Linked DNA regions of Caenorhabditis elegans. The protein of the gene in region 1 purifies or fractionates together with the protein of each later gene. This does not show direct contact. Each region holds a gene or a part of one and is shown on either strand. Other genes may lie near its edges.

Region 1 (5,648 bases):
TCCAAGAAATCCAAGAAGTCTAAGAGAGAGAAGAAGGATGATAAGAAAGATGAGGATAAGAAGGACGACGACAAAAATGATGACAAAAATGATGACAAAAAGGATGACGACAAGAAAGACGATGTGAGTTTGACAGATTCTGACTTTCTTAAAATTTTCAACAAATTTTCAGGATAAAAAGGATGACGAGAAGAAGGAGTGAACAGAATCCTATCGAACTAACTCTTCATACTCTGAAATGCCTTTTATTTACTTGTTAATAAAACCATTAAAATTACTATCTTTGTTTGGATTAATACTTTGTCTTGTGTCAGGTGCTGGACGTTCACATATTTGTTTCAAGCTAAAAGCTAGATCACTCGTCAATCTTCGCCGAGTTATAAAAATTTTGACAATTGAAAAACTTATAAAAATCTTTGGATATGCTTAATTGGAAGAGACTTTTTCAGAGGTCTCGGAATTGGGTAACCTGGGGATAAACATTTAAAAGTTACTCGGCGAAAAATGTCAAACCTTGTGGGCAACTTTTCTGATTGGTGTATTTAAATTGCTAAAGTTAGATAAAAAGTTGGGGAAAATTATTTGAATTTTATTTGGAATGGGAATCAAAATGAGAATGAGCTGTCGGTGAATTAGCAGATTCTCATAAAAAATTGTTGGATGCGCAGGTTTGTTGAAATTAATCAAGAAATAAGAAACTTAATTACTCCAAATAAGATCACATTTTCTTTATTAACTTGATGTCAAGGGAACTCATATTTTTTCAGCTAATTTTGAAGAAAACGTCTAATGAATTTTCTCAATAAATAATTTAATGAAACCTAACGGAATTAATTTAAATTGGCTTCAGAAATATGCTTATCTTACCATTATCGACTATCGTTATTGACTGAAATTTGCAGAGCTTCATCTACCGTTTACTATTGCAACTTTTTTCTTGTATCGTTCCTTTTCACTAATCTCAGGTGATAAGGATACACTTTACATGTCAATTGATTATTATGCATTGCTTATTACTGTTTTTTGATTGATTGCTCAGTATGATTATGTGTATGTGTTGTATTGGAATTTCATTTCTCACACGATCAACTAATCGTATTTTAAAAAAAAATAAATACTTTACAAAAAAGCTAAATAATGTTGCTTGTTGCCAATAATTTGCACCCCGTCGTTGTTCATTAATTTATCATATTAAGTCAATTTCTTCCATATTTGGTAAATTCCAATTTTCCAATTTTCAAATGGTTTTAAGAGAATACAAACTGAAGGCAAACCGGAATTCAAGTAACTTGACATCAGATTATTTTTAATTCCACAGTAAGACTTCGTTCTCTTGTTTAATTTTTTTAATGTATTTTTATCAAAACTCAATTTCTTTCAAAACTATTTATTCAAACTCTGAGAAGTGCTCTTTCTATCCGTCGAGGGTGTATCCTGGCAATGCCTTGCGGCAAAGAACTGTGACACTGGAGGCACAAGCTGGTCCACGAGCTGAGTGTTCCTTTCCTTGGTAACCATATCCGTACGACTCGTTGCGAACATCAACCTTGGCAAGGATCTGTTTTCCGCCTGGAAGGTTAACGACTCCAACTGAGATGTCTCCCTTGTGGTTGTTAACGTGAACTGGCTTCCAGATCTTTCCAGCATCAAAGTTGGCAGCTTCTGGGAATGGAATCCATCCATACTCGTATCCAACGACGTGTGGTCCAAGACGAACAAGCAATTGAATGGATCCAACGTTCTTGCAGTATTCGTTGTTGAACCAAGAGAAGTTGGCAGCAACCTAAATATTCCAAAATTAGAATTTCCGTCATTCATAAGATCCACAAACCTTTCCTCCCTCATTCCAGACACGACCCATAACAGGTTCACCCTGCATGTACCACAAGGCAACATATTGATCGGCACTGACTCCTGGAAGAGTATCCAAAGACTTATCCAAAGCTTGAACAAGCTTGCGAGTAGGCCATGGATCTCCCTCTCGGATATCGATCCATTCGTCGTGTATGACACGTGGTGGTGGTGGGCCCGGTGGTGGGATTGGTGGTGGTGGTGGTGGTTTAGGACAGTTCTCGCATTCGCAGTGTGGTGGTCCTCCGATGCAGTTGCGAGTGATGATGTACATTTCATTCAACTGTGGACCGACTTGTTTGATCACCTTGCCATTGAACGAGAACCATCCTTCCTCCGTCTTATTGTCAACGTATCCAAGAAGATTGCCTTCCTTTCTCTTCCAGAAGATTGGGAACGAATCTCCACAGCGAACAAGTTGATGTTTGTCGTCGATCTTCTCAATACGATCCTTGTATTTGATCCATTCATACCAGAATCCTGAAATGTTTATTCTCTTTAGCCCAATTGGTTCAATCTTTCAATTTGGTTAACCAGTTCAGTCAAGTTAACCAAACATCCTTATCTAAAGCCATCAAGCTCACCTTGGTTGTTGTGATCTCCGACATACTGGAGCACCTGAATTTGTCCCTCGAGCTGTTGCTTGGTCGTCAACTCTGCCTGCTTGTATGGGAATGAGCATTCAACCACTCCTCCGTTGTTCCAGGAACGTCCATGAATTGGTTTACCATGTTTGTACCAGAGAGCAACATACATGTTCTGCTCTCCCATACATTTGACAGGACTCGGCGGGAACGGTGAACCAATCGGCTGGAAAGCCCATGTGTCTTCTTTTGGTGGCGGATTCGGCTTCGGCGCCATCGATGTTGTTTACGATGATTGAAGGCGATCGAAGTATTGTTCCAATATGAGCAAATATGGCAATTTCGACTCCTTTTATAGGGAGATTCTTTTTCATTAGGGAGAGGTTACCAGGGGGTCACATTAAAATTTTGGCACTTTAGATGTTCTGAAATTTAAAAAAAAAAGTGTTCTTCTGTTTTTGTATTTAGCGCGGTTTCACGTGTTTAAAAACATTTTGTTGAGTTGAAAAAATAGTTTCAAGAATTAACTCATGAAGCAAAAATCTAGGGTTACAGACGCAACTGCTAATTAAGATAGGGATGCGGCTTCGCTCAGGAGCCGCCAAATTTTTCTCCACTTTCTCAGCAAAGTATATATATTTTTGGTCCAAAGCAATAAGTTATTCAGTATCCTTATTCCATAACTTTTTAAAAACTCACTTACAGAGCTTACTTACTTCGGCTTGTTACAGTGCTGTATTATTCTAAAGAATGATTCACATCAAAATTCATATGTCATTTTTGCAAGTTTTTTTATTGATTTATTGTACTTCTTTGACTATTTTCGTTTGCTTTGTATTGATTAAGCTCGGATCACAAAAATCTAAAACTATACTCGTTTAAATGGAAATGTTGATAAAAATGGACAATTTCCCGATTGCTTTTTGAGACCTCTTTTAATTTGTATATTTTTAGCTTTTTTAATGTAAATAAAAATTTTCCATTATTTGTATAAATAAATACAGTTTTCTATTTTCTTGAAATTTGATGCAAATTTCTGGACATTAACATGATCGACTTCTTATTTAAATTGGAGAGCAAACGTTTTCTAGTTACCATATACTTTTCCAGGAACTTATTGTCTTTATCAAAAAGCGCTAGAAAGTTGTCAGCCATTTGATTAATTTGACACACTGTAACTTCAATTTTTGATGCCGTATTCATTATATTAGTATGGGCTCCCTATTAGGCTTGCACTCCCTAATAATATTACAAGCGTGTTTTACGTGTTGGTTTAGCGTCTGATAGTTCATTGAGTTCATCAAAAATGTACAGTTTATTTGGATAAAAAATAATTAATTTTAACGTAACCTCCTCCTTTTGGTGTATATAAAAGGTGTTAAAATATGAAGAAACGTTCAGTTCGAATCTTTTTAATCGATTCAAGCACATCGTATAAACGCGACAAAACGACGGAAATATGATGAGCCCGTTGGACTATCTGCATGTCACTTTGCTGCTCATTGGCCCGAAGGCGATCGAAGTATTGTTCCAATATGAGCAAATATGACAATTTCGAGTCCTTTTATAGACAGAAGATAAGATCTAACCTTTTTTGGAAAGGTTATCAGGAAGTCACGTATAATTCAATTTTAAAATGAACTTTTTCAAAATGTTTTTCTTCATTTTTGTTCATTCAAATTTTGCCAGCACGCGAACATTTAGCCTCACGTATCAAGGTTTTTTCATGAATCACAACAATAAAAATTCTAAAAGCAAAAAAAAAGTCTCTGGAACAGAAGAAGTTCCCATTCCGAAAGAATTTTAAGTTATTGTTCCATGTTTCAGCTTGTTATTATAACAAGTTTTAGAATTTCACCAATATTACACGAAATTTTATACAATTTTTAGCTTTGAGAATAAAATCGTTCATGTTTTTTTTTAAATTTCAACTATAGAAAGTCGGAAAGTTGCCTGAAATTTGAGAATTGTATCTACTGCATCTACTCACTTGTACTTATGATCACAACACAAGTTTTTGCAGAATTTCTGTCGTTTTGCAACTAAACCTTGAAAATTTAAAAATTGATTTTTTTCAAAATGCCAAGAGATTACGCCAAGTCTAATGAAAACATGTTTATAATAAAACGCTTTTATGATAATATTTGGAAACAGTCAATTTTTTTTCAAAGTTTGTCTAATCATTTAGGGAACAGAAGCAAATTTTTCAAAGAACTTTTTTTAAAATTATTTCTATGAGTAATCAGAATAATCATATCTGTAGGAAAAAAAAACGATATAACTCTTTTTTTTATTCCAGTGGTTTATGTACAATTTTGAAGTACTCCGTGTATTTTTAGAAACATTAAGCTTGAGGAATGGACGAAGGTCATTTAACCCCATATCATATGTTAAAGTTCGCTGAATGCTTACTGTCATCTGCTGGGAATACCGAACATAAAACACAAAAGAACCATAAAATGAAATGACCAAATTTTCGAACAAGGAACTTCAAAAGGTAAAAAAAGGGAGTGCCCTTGACCTTCAATTCCTCATCTTCTCGAACCTTTTTCTAATTTACTTTTATCAGTTTCTATTCTTCTTTTCAACTGTGTAACTTGTTGTCTTTTTCTTCTCTTCAATTCTCAATGAATTCTCACAGTTTTTTTCTCGATTTTGTGTATATGTTCATCATCATCATTATCATTATCAACAGCTTGTATTACGAGAGAAAGAGAGACAAGGTGATGAGTAGAGTTTAACAAATTTGCTTCTCACTTGAATCATTTCTAGTTTTCTTTTCACCTCCCACCTTTCAGCCTATTTTCTCTCACTCTTTTCAAAAGCCGTTTTTTTCTTCACCTGATTTTTGTATTCTTTGACCTTTTGCAACAATTTTTAAAAACATAGGATTAGGATTACGGTGGTTATTTATTTTATGAAAAAAAACTGTTACCAAAAGTTATTACAAAAGTGGTTCAACTCAGGATCTGAGCACATGCTCAACCAACGTTTAACAAGCAGTTGCCGAAGATTGCTTTTATTTATTATGCAAATGTTCTGCGAATTTCAGTAAACCAATGTTTAGTTTTTTTTTGTTTCCGAAAAAAATTAGTCAAAACTGTTTGACCTTGTGAATGTGCCCGTGATTTTTTGTATCGAATTGGAACAGACTCCACCAATGATTTCAAAACGTTTTGTCAACAATTATTTAGCAATAGTGAAACAGAGAAA
Region 2 (4,605 bases), on another chromosome or scaffold:
ACTCTGTTTCCACGTTTTTTATCAATTCATTCAAATACTAATCAATGCGAAAAAGCGTCAAAAAATCAAAAATCGCATTTGTTTCAGGAAGAAGGCAACTCTTGGGTAACAACTGAACCGTATGCAAACGATGGAGCAACTATTTCGGCGAGTTCATCAGTTGTATTCACTGATGAACAAATGTTAATTGGAAGTTCATTTGGAAGACTTCTTCATTGTGATCTTACGCATTCATATATTACATAGTCAAACTTTTAGAGCTTATTTAAAAAATAAACCGATGAATATGATCTAGAAACAGATGTGTTGTAGACATTGTATCTAGATTTATTTATAAACTTGTCGAGGCGTAACGGGGGCGCCACGCCTCCACCCCTTTTCAATAGCCTTCCAGCGTTTTAGAGGAAAGTCGATTTATGAGAATTTAGCAGCTTTCAAATTAACTAATTTCTCGTCACAATTAGTCATTCTTAGTGTCTTGATTCGAAGTCTGATAATATATTTCTCATTTATTGCCATAAAGAAATAATTGTAATACTTTAAATTTCAATATTTACTATTAAATATCACAGGAAGACAAGAACAAAGCTCATGTTGGGAATTGAGAATCTATTCGCGAACGTACTCGCGGCGAGAAACAACGGATCCAGATTCAAGAGTAGTGATAAGCTTGTCTCCTTCGAGCCAACGGGTGATAATTGATTCCTTATCAGAGTCCTTGATCTTCTTTTGAATGTGAATGAATTTTCCGTTCTCGAAGTTGACAACTGACTTGACGGTACGGCCATCTGGAGTGGTCTCATCGAATTCCTGGGATAAAAACATTAAATATAAGTCTGAAGAATGCTAGTTCAATTTCAGGGTTGAAACAATTTTTATTGGATACAATTACTTGGAATTTGGGGATAACTTGCTCAAACCAAAAGCTCAAATGGATAGGATAAAATGTTGGCAGGAATTTGCTCACAGCAAATTGTGGGCAGAAAGTCGCTAAACTTTGTCCACAATTGCCGATATCAACGAACGTGCATTTTGAAATCAGATATTGTTTCTCATGGCTTTAAAAAAATATTATTCGTGCATGAAAAAACACGAAAACTATGGGAAATACATATTGTTTATCAAAGTCTTATAACAAGAAATCAATGATCATTTTATGATTTATGGTTTGAAATGTTATCACCTGGAATTTTAAGACTTTTTGTCTGTGAATATGGAAGTAACAATTTTTATTCATAAATTTGTAGTGCGTTTCTTTATTTTTATGTAACTTTTTTGTCGCAAATTTGGAATCAGAAAACCCACATTTTTTTTGATAACATTATTTTTGTCTTTTGTAAGTAAAAAACTTTGCACTTTCTTACCTGTCCCAACTTGAAAGAAAGAGTGGTGTTCTTGAATGTGGAGTATTGGTTGGAATACCACAAATCTCCTTCGACCTTGATTTCCAAAGTTGGCTTCAAGTTGGCAGCAGCCTTACGAGTGATCAATCCAACTCCAACCTCCTTCATGTACTCCTCGAAGTTCTCTGAGTGAATGAGCTTCCAGCGTCCAACGAATTCTTGAGACATGGTGATGGTTCTGTAAATAGAAGAAGTTGGAAAAGCAGGTAAAAAGTTCAATAGATTAACGGATATGTAATAGGTCTGAATAAAACGTTAGTCTGAAATTATGGTTAAAAAATCTTATTTTAAAAATTAATTTTAGAAGATGAACTATCATATCACTTGCAAATGGAAATAAAAGAAAAGTTGCAAATCAACAAGAAAACGAATGGCAATGCCTTGGGAAATCATTCGTATTTAGGTGGTCTGATAAATGGAATGATAGGGGGCAAGAGTGGGCGGAGATTCAAAACGTTTTCTCTATTTCTGTCTCCTCTATTTTTCGTTTCGTTTTTTTTTGAAGAATGATTCATTTTTTGATTCGTTGCATCATTTTTGAAAAATAAAAATAGAAAAGAGGAAAAGTGAGGAATTTTCAGTCGAATAAAAACAAAAATATTATCAAAAAAATTCTGAAATTTCTGAGGAGGAAAATATCGTTTTTGATTAAAGTATATCTAAGTTTTAATTTTTTTTAAATTTATTTTTTTTTGAGGTAAAAAACTAGTATCTTGTACATATATAGAAGCCCATTTTCAAATTGTGAAACTTAAACAATCTTCTTTTTTTTAAAATAAAGTAAAAATGCATTTTAAACAAAAAAATTTATTGGCAATGTTGTTTCAAAATTAACATATACATACTTTAATTCTGTAATTAAATTAAATGTTGAATCTCATCATAAATTGTGAGCACAAGAGCACCTCCAGTTGCTCGGAATACATTTGAAAGACCTCCTTTGTATAATGCAGTAATTCCTTCATTCTTCACAATCTTTCTAACACAATCCAAAGTGTTTTTATAGAGAATATCCTTTCTCCCTGATTGCATCATCATTCGACGACGTACTGTATCCCATGGATATGATAAATATCCAGAACCAACTGTTCCAACTTGAGCAATTGCCCATGTCGTAAAGAAATTGAGTTTTTGCCCGTCAGTTGAGTACAATGTTTTGGCAGTATCAAACATTCCGAAATATGCTGCACGATAAATTATAATTCCTTGTACTGAAACAAAAAATCCTCTATAAAGACCAATTGGTCCATCTGATTTCACAATTTTCACAAAACAATCCGTTAGACCTTGAAACTCTCTATCCACTCCTTTTCCAACATCGGCTCCAAGACGAGTACGCACAAAATCCAGTGGGTACACGAAGCATAGAGATGTTGCACCAGCTGCTCCACCAGAAGCGAGATTTCCAGCAAAGAATTTCCAGAATTCTTTATTCTTGTCAATTCCTTCTTGAAACATCTTCTTATAAGTGTCTTTGAATGCAAAATTCAGCGCTTGCGTTGGAAAATATCGAAGCACATTTGCAAGGTTTCCTCTCCAAAATGCTGCATATCCTTGTTCTTTTGGCACTCTAGCAAGAACATCCATAATTCCTTTATATTTTTTATCGGCAGTTACTGTTTCAGAGACATCACTGACTTGAAGTAGAAGCTTTACACGTTCAATTGGAGCAACGGCAGTTTTTGAGATTGCTGCAGCAGTGCCTCCGGAGGCGAGATCAACAAGAAACTTTCGATAATCAAATCCTTCCTTTGTGGTCATTTTGTCCTTCTGGAATGTTTTTTTTCAGAGATTATATTTCCTGAATGCTGATAATAAAACTTTCTTCAAATGCGAGTAGGAAGGAGCTCACTAGACTCTTCTCAAAATTTTGGTCATGAAAGTCTAATCAATATAAAGAATAAAATTAATTTAAAAAAAAAGAAAAATCTAAAACAAAAGTGTTTCTTTAAAAATTGTTGAAACTAATGAAAAATTTTACGGAAAATAAACAAGGCCTTTTTTAACAGAGACAGAGAAAAGAAAAGGGTTTCTGGTCCTTTAAAACGTCACTCTGCGTAAACAAAAACACTATTTTTCGCTATTTATTGCATCAAAGACCGAACAAAACAAGAACAATATTCAAAATAATCTATTCACGAATATAGGCACGACGAGAGATAACTGATCCAGATTGGAGAGTTGTGATGAGCTTTTCTCCTTCAAACCAACGAGTGATTACAGAATCATGATCTGAATCCTTAATCCTTTTTTGAACATGAACTACTTTTCCATCTTCAATTGTGATGGTTGACTTGAATTGACGACCGTCTGGTGTTGTCTCGTCGAATTCCTAAAAAACACTATTTTTTTAAATGGTAAATTATAACAGTCAATTTAAAAACTGAACTTTAATGGAATGAAAACCGGGAGTTGTTTTTCATGTAGCCGACACATTTAAAGATCGTAACTAATTCGAAAAAAAAATATTTTGTTAGATTTAATATGATTCTTTTTTTGATTTCAAATGTTCGTTTAGAGTTCGCAATTGAATTTTCCATAGACCTATTCTGAAAGACATAAACATTAGATTATTTCTTCATGCCACAAAGTGTATCTATGTTAATAGAACACCCGTTTGTTGTGTGTAGTGTTCAAATGGATACAAAGTTCAGTTGTTCTTTATTCTCATTTTTTTGTTTACACTGAAAACCACGTGTACCTTCCTGCACTTTGACCCACTAGTTTGAGTCTTATCAGTGTTTGCTAGAGTTTCGAGAAAGGCATTTGAAAGTTTTTAAATGGGAAAGAAAATAACTAACGAAAAAGCCATATAGTTGTTGAGTTCTATTCTCGTTTCCTTTTTTCAAAATTTCACTTACCACTCCCAGAGTGAACTCCAATGTGGTGTTCTTGAAGGTGCTAAGTTGATTGACATGCCACTTGTTTCCATTCACTTTGATCTCTAAAGTTGGTTTTGCAGCACACGCGGCTTTACGAAGAAGAAGACCAACCCCAACTTCTTTCAGGTAATCCTCGAAATTCTCGGATTCGACAAGCTTCCAACGACCCACAAATTGTTCAGCAGACATTCTGAAAATTTGGAAATTTACAATTTTGATAAAGAAGTACCAGAATAATAATAAAGGGAATTAAATGAAAAACGAATAAGTATTAAGAAATTCTGGATGATTTATTTCTGCTTTTAGAAAATTGCCTATGA

What was found. Proteins that work in one complex are often made in the same cells at the same time.
Region 2: the proteins of nsph-4.2 (region 1) and lbp-6 fractionate together in Caenorhabditis elegans (co-fractionation; one large-scale study listed by BioGRID). This does not show direct contact.

The regions. Positions count from the first base shown.
Region 1 is NC_003282.8:5,215,896-5,221,543, reverse strand, and holds nsph-4.2 (Nematode Specific Peptide family), read right to left. Parts: upstream 2,749-5,648; 5' UTR 2,713-2,748; coding exon 2,436-2,712; intron 2,332-2,435; coding exon 1,832-2,331; intron 1,784-1,831; coding exon 1,415-1,783; 3' UTR 1,375-1,414; downstream 1-1,374.
Region 2 is NC_003279.8:6,727,796-6,732,400, forward strand, and holds lbp-6 (Fatty acid-binding protein homolog 6), read right to left. Parts: upstream 1,582-4,605; 5' UTR 1,572-1,581; coding exon 1,365-1,571; intron 811-1,364; coding exon 610-810; 3' UTR 501-609; downstream 1-500. Other genes in the region: mec-6 (Mechanosensory abnormality protein 6), read left to right, coding at 88-246; ant-1.2 (ADP/ATP translocase), read right to left, coding at 2,262-3,164; lbp-5 (Fatty acid-binding protein homolog 5), read right to left, coding at 3,535-3,735, 4,265-4,474.